Stegostoma tigrinum: one gene and its partner. The protein of the gene in region 1 interacts with the protein of each later gene in a pairwise test. Links are inferred from orthologs where the notes say so. Each region holds a gene or a part of one and is shown in the gene's direction. Other genes may lie near its edges.

What was found.
Region 2: the proteins of lemd3 (region 1) and smad1 interact in binary tests that used the Homo sapiens proteins (3 or more experiments, as listed by UniProt). The link is inferred for Stegostoma tigrinum from reciprocal best matches to the Homo sapiens genes LEMD3 and SMAD1.

What each region holds. Positions count from the first base shown.
Region 1 is NC_081371.1:39,258,153-39,266,176, reverse strand, and holds the start of lemd3 (inner nuclear membrane protein Man1), read left to right. Parts: upstream 1-4,810; 5' UTR 4,811-4,861; coding exon 4,862-6,113; intron 6,114-8,024.
Region 2 is NC_081354.1:46,819,939-46,827,763, reverse strand, and holds the start of smad1 (mothers against decapentaplegic homolog 1), read left to right. Parts: upstream 1-4,767; 5' UTR 4,768-4,868; intron 4,869-7,825. UniProt on the Homo sapiens protein: Transcriptional modulator that plays a role in various cellular processes, including embryonic development, cell differentiation, and tissue homeostasis.

The sequences.
Region 1 (8,024 bases):
TTTTGTTCGGCGAAAACAAATCACTGCATATGAATATATGCCACTTTCAGCAAGCATAAATGAGCCATGTTAAATCTTGATGGATTACTTTAAATTGAGTTAGTGCAGCTATTAGCACAATCAGGAAATTTAACAAGTGCTACCCAATTGCGAAATCAGATCTTACAGCAGTAATTTTAAATTGGCTTTTGGCTATTTCAAACAATTGAATAAACGTGTTGTTTGATTCAGTCATTCTTTTGTTATGGTGTACAACTTACTTACATGGCATTACACCATCAATGAAATTATACACAAGGTTGTTCAATTATGTGTTAGTTTGATTTTTTTTGGATCAATAACAACATCCTGTAAGTTGAAAATTCCATTCATGTAACTATTGCAGAGTAACAGTGTGAAATTGTTTTATTTTGTTGAAATTTTAGATGTTTTGCCTTGCCAGGGTATTTTAGTTACATCAGACATTTTTCAGGTTTGGCCTATTTGCAAGTTAATGCAATCCATAGCAAAGAATGACCTGATCAGGACAGCCATTGTCACACAGCATAACATTGGATAAGCTCTGCATGAAGAGCTTCTAAGGTGAGCAAATAGCTAACACCCTGTTTAAAATCTTGCTAATTAGGCAAATCCTACAAGGTGTGAAGCTGTACAGATGTCAAAGATGAAGGAAGGCTTGCAATATAAAATAATGGAAAACCCATCATAGATTATTGATCCAGCAGGTAGACAGAGGTGATGGCTTAATGGTATTATTATTGGACTGTTACTCCAGAGACCCAGGTAATGTTCTGGGGACCCGTGTTCAAATCCCACCACAGCAGATGGTGAAATTCAAAGTCAATAAAAATACCTGGAATTAAGAATCTAGTGATGACCACAAATCCATTGTCAATTGTTGGGGGAAAAACCCCTCTGGTTCACTAATGTCCTTAGAGGAGGAAACAACCATCTTTACCTGGTCTGGCCTATATGTGACTCCAGACCCACAGCAATGTGGTTGACCCTGGACTTATGTTAGGGAAAGAGGGCATGTTACACTGCTGCACCTCAAAAATGAGTTTGAACGTCTAAAAATTGGTAGCTGGAATATTATGTCAGAAAATGTGAGTTTATGCACTTTGGTAGGAAGAAGAGTAGTTGAGTATTATCTAAACAGAGAAAGACTGCCAGAACCTGCAGCACACAAGAATTTGGGTGCCCTTGTGAATAAAATCACAAAGAAAAAGCATACAAATTCCCAGGTAGTAGGGAGGGCAAATGGAATTTAGGTCTTTGTTTTAAAGGGAATGAAATGTAAAAACAGAGAAATCTTATAAAAACCTATGTAAGGTAGTAGTTAGAGATAACAGATGTAGAGCTGGATGAACACAGCAGGCCAAGGAGCATCTTATTATCTCTAAGGTAGTAGTTAGACCACATTTAAAATACTGTGAACAGATTTGGTCCCCTTATCGACGGAAGCATGTACTGGTATTGGAGGCAGCCCAGAAGTTTACTTCATCAGATATGGAGGGATTTCCTCATGAGGGGTTGAATAGGTTGGGTCTGTATTGAGTTTAGAAATATGAGAAGTAACATTGTTGAAGCATATAAGATTCTTAGGGACTTGACAAGTTTCATATAGTGAGGTTATTTTCCATTGTGACATATTCTCAGAGTAAGGCATCATCCAGTTAGGACAGGAATGACAAGGGAACTTATTCTCTGAAGATAGAGAATCTGAGGAATTCTTTACCATGGAGGGCTGTTGATGCTGGGTTATTGAGTATATTTCAAGGCTGAGGTAAACATATTTTTAATCAGTAGAGGCACAAAGGTTAGAGTGGAGGATTATCAGCTACATACACATTTCCCTCCAAATGGCACACAATTATGATTTGTAAACATAATTGCTGTTCATTCACTACTTGGAAATCATCAAAGTCTCTATCAAACAACACTGTAGGTGTACCTACCACAATACAGATTGCTGTGGTTCGATAAACCAGATCAGCATCATCTGCTCAATTAAGGACAGGTATAAATGCTGATCTTGCCAGCACTGTCCAGATGATTATTAAGAAAATTATGGAATATACTGCAATAGGTTTTCTCTTAATTGTTCAACTTTATTATTTCAATAATAGTTTTAATATTAAAACAGAAATCAGAGACTATGTATTTACCTTGCAGTTCTTAGAAATAACATGAAACATCTACGAATTAAGGCAGAGTCCCATGGACATTACTATGAGTACCCATAGCTCAAAAATCACACAACACCAGATTATTGTCCAACAGGTTTATTTGAAAACAAAGTGTGGAGCTGGATGAACACAGCAGGCCAAGCAGCATCTTAGGAGCACAAAAGCTGACGTTTCGGGCCTAGACCCTTCATCAGAGATGGGAATGGGGAGAGGGTTCTGAAATAAATAGGGAGAGAGGGGGAGGCGGACCGAAGATGGATAGAGGAGAAGATAGGTGGAGAGGAGAGTCTAGACGGGGAGGTGGAGAGGGGATAGGTCAGTCCGGGGAGGACGGACAGGTCAAGGAGGCGGGATGAGGTTGGTAGGTGGGAAGTGGAGGTGCAGCTTGAGGTGGGAGGAGGGAATAGGTGAGAGGAAGAACAGGTTAGGGAGGTGGGGATGAGCTGGGCAGGTTTTGGGATGCAGTGGGGTAAGGGGGAGATTTTGAAGCTTGTGAAGTCCGAATTGATACCATTGGGCTGCAGGATTCCCAAGCCCATTATCTCTGAGGTTTATTTGAAAATACTAGTTTTCAGAGCCTCACTCCTTCAAGTGTTAGTAAGAGAGGTAACATCAGACACAGAATTTATAAGATCAAAGGGTCATAGAACTGACGCAAATGTATTGAAAAAAAAACTTAAGAAGGCTGTAAATCTTTAATCAGTTAGAAAGGAGATGCAGGTTTTGATTGATTAATATGCAAATCTAAGAATTTCTTTCAAGTCACTGCCCTGAGATAACTATAGGTTTTATCAGTATACCATGGGTGACATCTCTGGTCAGACAATGCGTTTTAGATGTGAGACCTCGTTTAGAACCTTCTGTGTTTTAACTTGGAGTCAGACTGATTTTATTTCCAAAGTAGGGATTTATAAAATGCCACATTGACTGACTGTCTACAAATTGTGATCAGAGATAATGGGGACTGCAGATGCTGGAGAATCCAAGATAACAAAGTATGAAGCTGGATGAACACAGCAGGCCAAGCAGCATCTCAGGAGCACAATGTGATGAAGGGTCGAGGCCCGAAACGTCAGCTTTTGTGCTCCTGAGATGCTGTTTGGCCTGCTGTAATCATCCAGCTTCACACTGTTGTCTACAAATTGTGTGCTTTTTGAACAACACGGGATATATCTACAATTACAAATCTGCAAATCTATAAATTCCTACTTTGGAAATAAAACCAGTCTGATTTGACCTTGTCCACCCTAGTCCAACACCGGCACCTCCAGATCATAAGTGACCATAGGAAAAATCAATACATAAGTTGAGTTTTTAATTATCATTTTATTTGAACAACATGTGTATTGAAGTAATAGCATTGAAAATGGGTAGAAGGGTGTTTACCTGTGAAAAGGTGAGAGCCCACTCGGATAAAGCCTTTTGGAACATGTCCAACAAAAGTTGGAAATCCCAGTTCCATATCAGTTACCTGTTTTCCACATCTGCAGAGACAAACTAATGTAGCAATAGGAACCGAATAGAGAAAAATAGATCTTAGAAAAGGACAAACTGGAATGACATATGTGGAAAATAACGGAATTTGTTTCGGTTATGACGATGTCGCTGGACGGCTCTGAAACTGCAGTCATCACCTGTGGCGCAATTACATGATTTGCTGCGGTTCAAGGAGGCAACTTATTCTCACCTTTTAAAGAGCAACTAGGCGTTTGCTGCCTTGGACGTTGATACTCACATCCCATGAGCGAACAAAACCATTTTTAAAATGTGCAGGCCGTCTCACTCAACCAAATGAAAGTCTGGATTCTGATTTTGGCTGCACTTGGACTGTAACCGGGGTTGCCGTTGTGATGCCCGAATATTCCTTGGACGTCCCACAATCTCAAGACAAATTACTGGGCTGGCAACGCAAACACAGGAATGTTGTTTCATTTTTGATTAAACTAATGGTGAAATGTAAAGGAACAACAGCTGAAGAGAGCTGGAGGAGTGGAGCGGGTTCGCAAAAGCTGAGCGTGTCCCAAGTCGAAGAAACTCAACAGTTCTGGCATCATCTGTGGACAGGAAGCGGAGTTAACGTTTCGTACGCAGTGAGCCGCCTTCAGAATCGGAAACAGAAGTTGCTGGAAAAGCTCAGCAGGGTCTGGCAGCATCTGTGAAGGAAAATAAAAATCAGAGTTAACGTTTCAGGTCCGGTGACCCTTCCTCAGAACAGAAACCTTCTTCAGAACCGGCCAAGGCTCAATGGACATGAAGCGCTAACTCTTGAACTGAAGGCAACAAATGCTAGAGATCACAGCGGGTCAGGCAGCGTCCATGGAGAGAGAGCAAACTAACGTTACGGCTCATCATGACTATTCATTGGAGCTGACTTACCCACACCACCACCACCCGAGCTGAAAGCCTGCTGAGGCGCTTCAGTATTTTGTTTTGTGTTTGGCATTTCCCGATCTTCAGCACCCAGAGTTCTCGGTATCATTCCCAAGTCGACTGGAATGAGCTGGCCAGGTTAACAGAGAATGGGGGACGTTTCCCTTTTAAGGCCCCTCTCTTCCTCGGCCAGTTTAAAGCACTGTGCGCCCTCCCGCCTGCCGGCTCTACTCCCGGGGGCGGGGGGTGGTGCAGCGAGCCTGTAGCGTCACTTCCGGCAGTCTCACGCCTCGCGCGGTAAGATGGCGGCGCAGTTAACGGACGCGGAATTGTTTTCCGAACTGAAAAAGTTCGGTTTGGTCCCGGGTCCCGTGACCGAGAGCACGCGCCCCGTCTACCTGAAAAAGCTCAAGAAGCTGCGCGAGGACCGCGGCGCCAGGCCTAAAACCAGGAACGGCGGCGGGACAGGCCCGAGTTCGGGCCTGGGCCTCGGCGTGTCGGCCAGCCCCACGACTAACCCTATCACCCCGGGCAAGCTGCTGGGTTTCAGCTCGGACGAGTCGGACGCCGAGCTCAACGGCAGAAGGAGCGACGCCGGCAAGAGGACGAGCAGGACGGATAAAGCTCCGGGCGACTGCCCCCGCCCGCGGCCTAGTCACAGCAAGGGGAGGAACACTCCTCCGAGAATGGTGAACAGCAACAACAGCGGCGGTGGTGCGGGGCTTTTGGCTGGCAAAGGGAACCCCACCCCTTGGTGGAGGCCGAATCCATGTGGCGGCGTCCAGCAGTCGCCGGAGGAAGAGGAACGACCTCCGGGAACCGACATGCAGAGCCACAACAACAACAGCAGCAGCAGCAATCGTGTCTCCTACGTTAGGGAGGATAACTACTCCGATTCCGAGGATGAACGAGAAGAAGAATCGAGCCGGAGGCCCAATTCCAGGCGGAGTCACTCCAAGAAATTACAGGCCACCGTTAACAGTCATAACCCGAGGGTGATCGTGGAGGAGAGCGGCGCCGGCAGGAGAGGCGGCGCCAAACGGATCCACGACGTCGCCGGCGGTCCTTACTGTCTAGACACCAGGAGAGACCAACTAGAGGAGGAGGAAGAGGATCAGAGGGAGAAAGACGCCACAGCGGAGCCCACCATGTTATTGCGGTTCCGTAATTCCTCTTCCAAAAAGATTAGTCCAGGACTGCTGGCTGCTGAAAAGGAGAGACTTTACATGAGCAGCACCAGAAACAATAATCACGTCAGCACAAGTAATTTTATTACTAGTCCGAGTGGCCCTTCGTCCTCCCTTTTGATCAATGCTAATCACTCAAACCATACGGGCAGTAACCACATCTACAGTACATATCGCAAAAGCCCCAGAGAGCCTGAGGAGGAATTATTGCAGCAATTTAAAAGGGAGGGGGGTTCGGCAACCGGTGGATTCAGTGCACACTACTTATCCATGTTTCTTTTAACTGCTGCATGTCTATTTTTTGTCATTTTGGGACTTACCTATATAAGGATGAGGGGTTCAGGAGGAACAGAAGGAGTTCTTAACGGTAAGTGTAGCAATGGAAGCATCCAAGTTTGCAGTGGGATAATGGCAAAATGCCAGACAATTTTAATCTGTTCAGAAAAGTGGTGTCTGTCTATTGAATATGTATAGCGAAGTTGGTGTATTGCATTATCATTTTATCTCCTGGTTGTGGTAAACTAGTTCTAGTCGTTGCACTGTTTTCGTCAAGGTTACAAATTACCGTTTTAAGAGTCAACCATATTTGATTCTGCATTTGTAGCCAGAAATAGTTAATTGTGAGTTAAATGTTTCACCTGGTGAAATATGACAGAATAATTCACTTGTGTATTTTGTACAAAATATTACACTTACAAACCTCCATTCTAGCAGGACAGATCTACTGCCGTACGGTTTTTCCCTTTCTTGTTTTTGAAATTGTGATATGAAGCCATTTGTAGCATCAGTGTTTTATTATTGTATTCCTGCATTCTTTAGTCCAATTTCCATCGTGCATTTCAAAAACAAGGCTTTCAACCTTTAATGTAGTTGTAAATAATATTTTCAGTTTAATATTAGTAAAATCTAGGAGAGTGAAATCTTGGTTGGATCATGCCTGTGACGTGTATATATGTGAGCTTTTTATCATTTTAGCAGCAGAAATGTAGGGTTTTTTAAAAATTTTGAACTGTCATGTAGTATTTTGGCACTTCACATCCCTTCCAATAATACCAATGCCATTGCGTTGATAGCATTATAACTTGAGCAGAGAAAGCTCATTTTATTCCTGTGGAATTTGACTGACTAAATGTATTTAAATCTCAACGTTCTTATCACTTAGGTATGTTTCAGAAAAATACCTTTTTTTTTGAAGGTGTACTAAAACATCTGGGTCAAATGTGCTTGTCTTGCTCAAACTGTTACTTCCAGTTGATCATTTAAAAACCACTAAGTTGTCATTGACAGTGTTTTATATTCACTTTATTTTGTCAACTGTGTAGTTGTGGAATCTAGTAACAAACTGTGAAATACTTTCATAAAGCCTTGGTTTTTGTCTTGTTTGAATATATTTTAAAAGCTTTTAGGGCTCCCTCCAGTTTCTCATCCATATTTGCCCCTTGGCATCATTATTGCAAGACATAGGACTCTCAATTTGTTATGGGAAGGCATCTAACAGCTGTTGTCATTTAGTCGGGTTTCCCTTTGCACCCTCCAGCTCAGAGTTACTGGAAATGCAAACTGATGAAATTTGAGATGGGGAGACAATCAGTTTGACTTGGAAAATTTTTTTGACAAGTTGCTGTGTATGGATGAGGGCATTTGACATAGTCGACTTGAACTTTTGCAAGGCTTTTGATAAGATCCTACATGGGAGACTAGTGGCAAAGATAAGAACAGTCTGTGGAATCCAGTGAATTTTGGCTAATTGGATGTGGAATTGGTTGAGTGTCAGGAAACAGAGGGTGATGGTCAAGGGTGTTTTAGTGACTGGAAGCCTGAGAGAAATCAGGTTCTACCACGATCATTTGCTGTTTGTTATGTTTAAATTATATTGATTAGTAAGTTCACCACCACCTTCTCGAGGGCAGCTAGGAATGGGCAAAAAATGCTGGCCAGCCAACGACTCCCACATCCCATAAATGAATAGAGAAAAGAAAGTTCACAGATGACATGATAATTGGGGTTAAAAACAGTAAGGATAGCCTTAGATTATATAAGGATATAGATGGAAGTCAGTGGAAAATGGAATTTAACCCGGACAAGTATGAACTGATGTACTTGGGGCAGGACAGACCAGACAAGAGAATACATAATGGAGCAATAGGAACCTGGGCAGCGCCGAGAATCAGAGGGACCTTGATATGCATGTCTTCTCGCCCTTTTAAGGTAGCAGAACAGGTAGATAATGTTGTTGAGGCATATGGGATAGTTGCCTTTCTTAGCTGATCCATAGAGT
Region 2 (7,825 bases), on another chromosome or scaffold:
CTTCAGCAAACATAACTGGAAAAAGATTATCACAGAAGTCTTACAGCACAGACAGAGGCATTTGTGCCTGCATTGGCTCTTCCAACAAGCATCATTACCTGCTGCTGATCTCCTGCTTTTTCTCTATACATTTGTACGTTATTTTTATTTAAATAATTGTCTAATGCCCCCTTGAATTGCCTCAGTTGTACCTGGCTCCACCACATTTTCAGACATACTAGACCATACCCGAACTATTCATATCTTCCTTTGCTTCTTTTGCAGGTTACTTAAAATTTATGCCCTGTTACTCTTGTTCTTTCATAAACAGGAACAGTTTCAGCTTACTTACTCTTATCCAGCTGTCATGACTTTGTAAACCACTACCAGATCTCAGCTTAGCCTTCTTCTGTACAAGAACATTCCTCATAAATTGTTGATTGAGTGGGCAAATGCATGGCTGATGCAGTATAATTTAGATAAATGTGATGAATCCACAATGATAGCAATAACAGGAAGTCATAATATTATCTGAATAACTGCAAATTGAGAGACTGGAAAAGTAAAATGTGTAATGTGACCTCATCCTGTTCAGACCAACTGGCGAAGGTATTCACTGACATCTTCAACTTGACCTTCCTACAAGCCGAAGTGCCCACTTGCTTCAAAAAGACCGCCATCATCTCCGTACCTAAGAAAGTGCATGCAATGTGCTTTAATGACTACTGCCTGGTGGCTTTGACATCAATGATCATGAAGTGCTTCGAAAGGCTGGTCATGGCCCACATTAACTCCAGTCTCCCAGCCTGCCTTGATCCACCACAATTTGCCTACTGACATAACTGGTCCACAGATGATGCCATATCCCTAGCCCTGCACTCATCCCCAGAACATTTGGACATCAAAGACACCCAACTCAGACTGCTACTCATTGACTACAGCTCCACCTTCAATGCCACTATCCCCTCCAGACTGATCACAAAGCTCCATGACATTGATATCAGCTCTGCCCTCTGCAACTGGATCCTCAGCTTTCTGACTCACAGCCCACAATCAGTGAAGATAGGAAACTGCACCACCTCCGCAATAACACTCAACACTGGAGCCCTCCAAGGATGCATCGTCAGACCCCTACTGTACTCCCTTTTTACCTATGACTGTGTTGCTAAATTCCAAATGAATGCCATCTATAAGTTCGCTGACAACATCACCGTAGTGGGATGGGTATCGAAAACACGAAAACAATGAGACAAACTACAGAAAGGAGATAGAAAGCTTGATGACGCGATGCAATGAAAAAAAATCAGTCTCTCAATGTTGGCTAAACTAAAGAACTGATCATTGATTTCAGGAAGAATGGAGAACACACCCCATATACATCAATGAAACTAAAGATGAGAGGGTGAAGAGCATTAAGTTCCTTGGAGTTACGATAGCCAACGCCCTGTCCTGTACTTGCTACATAGATGCAACAGTCAAGAAGGCACAACAATGCCTTGTCTGCCTCAGGCAGTTCAGGAAATTTGGCATGTCCATATGCTCCCTCACCAACTTCTACAGATGCAACATTGAAAGCTTACTGTCCGGGTGCATGAAGGGCTGGTATGGCAACTGTTCTACCCAGGGCCGTAAGAAACTACAGAAGGTGCTGTGCACAGCCCAGACCATCACAAAAGCCAACCTTCCATCCATGGACTCTATTTACATGGCTCGCAGCAGCGGAAAGGCTGCTAACATCATCAAAGACCCATTGCACCTCAGTAATGATTTCCATGAACTCTTCAGTCAGGCAGAAGATACTGAAGCCTAAATTCACGCACGAGCAGGTTCAGGAACAGCCTCTTCCCCACCATTTTCAGACTGGTGAATGGACTGTCTAGCCACAAATAATGTTGATCTTGCTAATGTTGATCTCACCTAGTGCACGCTCTGTGCAATGTAACCTGCATGCCTCTGTCTAAGTCTTTTTGATCTGTGCATCCTTTGTTTACTATGATCTGCCTGTACCACTTGAAAACAAAGCTTTCTATTGTATTTTCGTACCAATGACAATCAATCAATCAATCAATCGTACAATAGTTGCTGAGTTAAGGATGTGGACACGGCAGCCAGTAAAGACAGCAAATGGTATGCTGTGCTTCATAGTGAAAGGAGTTCATGTGTAGGACCAAGGTTGTCTTGCTGCAATTATACAGGGCCTTAGCGAGACCACACTGGAATATTATGTGCAGTTTTTGTTCCCCTATCTGATGAAAGATGTTTTTACTAGTGAGTGCAGCCAAGTTTTACTTGACTGGTTCTTGAGATGCTGGGACTGATGCATGAAGAAAGGTTGAATAGGTTAGGATTATACTCGCTAGTGTTCAGAAAAATGAGGGGTGATCCACAGAAACTTTAAAAATTCTAACAAGACTAGACAAGGTGGTTGCAGCAAAGATGATTTTGATGGCTGGGGAGTCCAGAACCAGTGTCACATTCTAAGGATACAGGATAAACCATTTAGGACTGAGATGAGGATAAATTTCTTCACAGAAAGAGTGGTGAGACTATGGAATTTGCTAGCACAGAAAGCAGTCGAGGGAAAACATTGTATGATTTCAAGAAAATATAGTACTTGGGGCTAAAAGATGTGGGGTTAAAGCAGGAACAGTTTATTGAGTTGGACGATCAGCCATGATCAGAATGAATGGCAAAGCTGGCTCGCAGGGCCAATTGGCCTACTCCTGCTCCTATTTTCTATATTTCTTTGTAGGCCACTTCTACACTCTCTCCAATGAGTTCACATTCTTGTTATAGCATGTCTCTCAGAACTGTACACAATATTCCAACTGAGATCTAAGAAGAGTCTTATACAAGTCCAACCTCACCTCCTGGCTCTTCTACTTTATGCCTCTGTTAATAAAGCTGAGAATACTTCATGCTTTATTAACTGCTTTCTTGCCACCTTCAATAATCTGCACGCATGTACACCCAGGATCTTCTGCTCCTACACACCATGTAGACATGATCCCCCCTCTTTTAGATCTTCTTCCTGCTAAAATACATCATACTTCTTAACATTGAAACTCATCTGTCACCTCCCTCCCTCTCAACCCTGCCTCCTTGACCTGACACAACCTGTCCAATCGTCTCTCCCACCTCACTGACCTATCCCCACCACTGCCTACCTGCACTCACCAATCACCATTCCGCCTACCTCTCCCAGCCTCACCCCTCCTCCCTCTGTTTATTTCAGCTCCCTTCCTCTTTCTCCATTTGAGAAGAAGGGTGCTGACCGGAAACGTCAGCTTTCCTCTTCCTGTGATAGTGCCTGGCTTGCTGTGCTCCTCCAGCTCCACGCTGTGTTATCTCTGACTCCAGCACTGGCAGTTCTTACTATTTCTAAAGTAAATGGTAGTTATCTTTTCCCTAGGATGGGGTATTTCAAGCCTGGGGACATATTTTTACGGTGAGAGGAGAGAGTTTTGGAAAAAGACGAGGCAAAGTTTTTACACAGAGGGTGGTTCGTGTGCAGAATGAATGTCCCGAGGAAGTAGTGGATGCGAGTACAATTAAAGCACTTAAAAGACATGAGGATAGATACATGAATAGAAAGGGTTTGGAGGGAAATGGGCCAGGAACAGGCAGGCGGGACCAGTTTAGTGTTTGGGTTGGACTGAAGGGTCTGTTTCCTCGCTGTATAACTACGATCATCAATGGTATTACCACTATAGAACCTTTCTGCTACTTCTTCAAAAAAACTCCAGAATGAAGATTATTTCCCCTTTCAAAATCCATGCTGACCCTTGTTAATCAATCCACCTTTTTTGTTAATATTAATTCTATCCCGAATAAGTATTCATCTGATTGTAATTGTTCACCATGGAATTTTACTATGTGCGACTGTATTTAGCTGCTTAAGGTGCAGATCAAAAGCAATCCATTGTATAGCACGTTTGTTCTGAGGCTGTAAACCAATGCCACAGATATGTAAATTCTTTCTTTTCCATGCTTCTCTTTTAATCTTTACCAAACATTCTTTTGTTATTTACAATCCTGATTTTTTTTGGCTTTTATTCCTAAGAACTGCATGAGGATTTCAACGGTGAGACGCAACATATTTCTTCAGCTTTAAAAATGCAAATAAGTTAAATGAAATTGTAGATAAATTACTGACGAAACAACAATTGCATTACAAATCAAATTTGTTTCGAGGTTTTTTAATGCAAGATAACTCGGGGAATCATTTTCATTGGAGTCTGTAGAAATGCTTACATCACTGGTTCAAACTGGGACTGATTTGCTTTAATAATGCTTTTCATACTTATAAGTTACAGGATCTTAACGTGAATTAGAACAGATCTGCTTTTAAAGTTCAGAATGGAAGGGACTCTAGTAATGATTAAAAAAAACTCGAAAGAACTGCGGATGCTGGAAATCAAAAACAAGCACAAATTGCTGTCAAGAGAAAGCCGAGTTAACGTTTCGGGTCCAGCGACCTTCAGTACGAGTCTTCTGATAATATTTGTATATACAATGAAGATTCAATTCTTCGAGAAATGAAGAGAAAATTAAATGAAAATAGATCAAATGAAATCGCGATACTCAAAAAAGTAAAATAAGGAGCCGGTATAAATGATTACTTAATAAACTTAAAACAAACATGAATAAGACTAGAGGAAGAAAACAATGCGTTGTTTGAATGAAAGCTGCCTAGTGCGTTTAAGAGTTGAACAGCTTCGCTCTTGTTGGAAGTAGTTGGGAAAGTAGTGCGGCTGGTCGGCGAGTTAATCCATAGCGCGGTGAGCAGTCGCAGTCTGCCTGACGCCGGAGCTTTGACTGTGTTGCGGTTGCTGGAAGTGCTGCCGATGGAGCGTGAAGGAGAGGGAGGCTATTTGGTTGGCGTTCAGGTAAGACAGTACCACAAGTTATTCTTAATTGTTTAATTCCTCTTCGTTGTTCGTACACTTTGCAGCAGTATGGAGCAGATGCACTTTTAAAGGAGGGGAAGTTATTGCCTTTATTCCCACACCTCCCCTTAGAAGTACTTTTAGCACAACATGGCGTCACCGGGAAAACGGGGAGAAAGTGGAGCCGGTCCGTTCGGACCCCGACAGTAACGTACATTAACGACCGGGAAAGTTTGCTCAAGTTTTTGTTGTGGGAGCCTCCATTCTGAGCTGTAAACTCGACTCGGCGAGTCTTTCTTCTGAGGGACGGGGTTGACTTAAACTGCAGCGCCGTGTGATCCGCTGCGAAAGATTTCTCTTTTTATAAATGGAATTTAATCGAGAGGATGCGACTGATCTTTCTTTCCTTCGCAGCCTCGTCCGGTGATGGAATAACGTTCCTCACTCCAGTTTCCACCGAGGGGAAGATGTTTTAATAACCTTTCTGAGCGTACACCCCAGACGCTGTTGGGTTCACGAATCTTTAAGAATCTTGGACCAATGCTTACGTTTTATTTTTCTGTGTTGTCATAGTTGATTAAGAGTTTGTGGAAGTGATTTATTTTTATCTGAGTCTTGTGTAAATCTTTTGAAACTAGCTCCTCCATCTTCCCGGCTCCTCGATTTCCATTTCATGGATCATCACTGGGTGAACTGAGGAAGGTCTCAAATGTGCCACGTTTTTTCCCGTATTAAAATAAGAATTTTGACCGTAGCCTCTTTGCAAAAAAAGAGAAACGCTGAAATTAAAGTTGTACGAATACTTGCATTGAAAAAGGAAGTTTCAGTATAAATTATTATGCCATATAGGAAGTGTTTGATATTTAAGTACTTTGGTTTGTCAAAATACTAGTTCAGAAAATATCTGAAGTAACTGCTTTTTGCCGTTCTATAGAAGAATCGTTAATATTTGCTTTGGTATAAAGAAGATATCTTCTGAAGTTAGCTTGCCAAGAGCTTTTGCCCTGAATCAGTTTCATCTGTCCTGTTTATTAATCTGTTGTAGATGGATGCCACAGGTACTTTTATACATGACTGAAATGCCCTGTGTGGATCAGCATATTTTGATTGTGTGATCTTTGTGCAGTATATTTCTTTTATCTGTGCTTGAGATTTTCTTTCTTCTCTGTGCTGATGCATTATCTGCCATGCATCCTTCTTGGCATTTTGACAAGAATCAGTTCAAGGCAGGGATTGAGTTACTGAAAGGATAAAAAATTTGTCCTTGTGTGGATTTTTAAAAAACTTCAGTCACTTTTCATCACCTTCGCAAACTTTTCAGCAAACTTCTTAGTTTTCATGCTGCGACCAAGCTTTTGGGAATGCCCTGAACCTTTGATTTTAATGTTAATTTTAAAAAAAATTAGAACTTTTTTTTCAGTTATGTCAGGCCTTTGATCTGTATCTGAAACTAGATTTAATGTGGCAGTTGGTTATTATTTGTTCAAAAAAACCAAGATCCAAATTCAGAACAGAAATCAGAGTTTTCACTTTGCAGAATATATTAATATGTTCTGCATTTACTTTTTAATTTCAAAATCAGCATTTGTTTTTCAAGAATATTTGAGATTTAAATGTGAACTGAAATTGCCTTTTCAATAGCTAATACAGGGAAAACAAGAAAAACTCAGCATTGCAAGCATTATTCACCTTATGCATATCATACAACTTTGTAAATTATTTCTAAAGGTGTTTTCCAAGCCTGAGGCCTCAGTTACAAGGAAGAATTAAGTTCTGTTCCCTTTATGCTAAATGCAAATATCATTACACATTCTGACTGCCCTTGTGTCTCCATTTTTGTGTTGTATATCACACAGCTGGAAATAGTACAAGTTAGTCTGTAGCTTTTGTAGAACAAAGGAACCAGATAGTCTAGGTGGGAAATTGAAAGAAATTACTCAAATAAGGCAATTACTATTATATCTTTTTCCTTATCTATATGATGCTACTTAAATGTTGGAAAAGCTCTCTCAGGGAGCCCAGGTTCAAGTCCCACTTCCCCTGAAGTGTGTATAATATCGCTGAACAGGTTGATCTAAAAAAAAGTTGGGAAACTTTCACCAAGACAAACTGAGCCAAATGTTCACCAGTTACATTACCTGCATGATTAAATGAACAGAATAGAATAGCCTTTTTTTGTCACGTATAAACTTTTCACCATACTCATTGACTATACGTTACCTATGACAGTGCCAGCTTAGGTACAAAAGAACCTTGGCACGATTCCTTTAGTTACAAGATTTACACATACAGAAATAAAAGTTCAGTACAGCAAACCATGCTGGCACCTAGCTTCCAGTCCACATTGAACACCGGCTCCGCATTATGCCAGCAAAATACCATGCTGACAGGTTGCTGCGCCAGGGTGGGAGGCCAGGGTTCATTGCTGGAGGATAAGAGTTGAAGAGGGGAATAAAGAGCAGAAAAGCTTGGAGTAAGAAAAGAAGAACAGGCAGAGTGGACAAGCTCCTGCTGGAGCATCCTACTCCGTCACCATCTTGCACAAGGAAGTTGATTTAAATTTTAACAAACTTATTTTACTTCTCATCATCATTACTTGAAATGAAAGCATCCTCCAGTTCTGTACCATGTATGCTCCAACCTGTCATGTACAATGCTGTTGTATTTTTAAATTTCTGAATTACAGTTTCTGGAGGAAACACTGCTGTCCTTTTAAGCATAATTGTCAGCAAGATTTTAGTATGATTTGGAAGTTGAGTAAGATTGAAAATGTTGAATCAAGAATCCAGTCTTAATTCATCAGTGGTTAATAGGCAGTTTCCCTTGCTGAACAGTATGGTCAGCTTAGTCTTTATAACTGTGATACTGATGACCTATCAGTGTAGAAGTGGCAGTAACAACAATGAAATTTAGAATCAGGAGTGACAATTGAAATCTTATTTCTATCAGATCTTAGT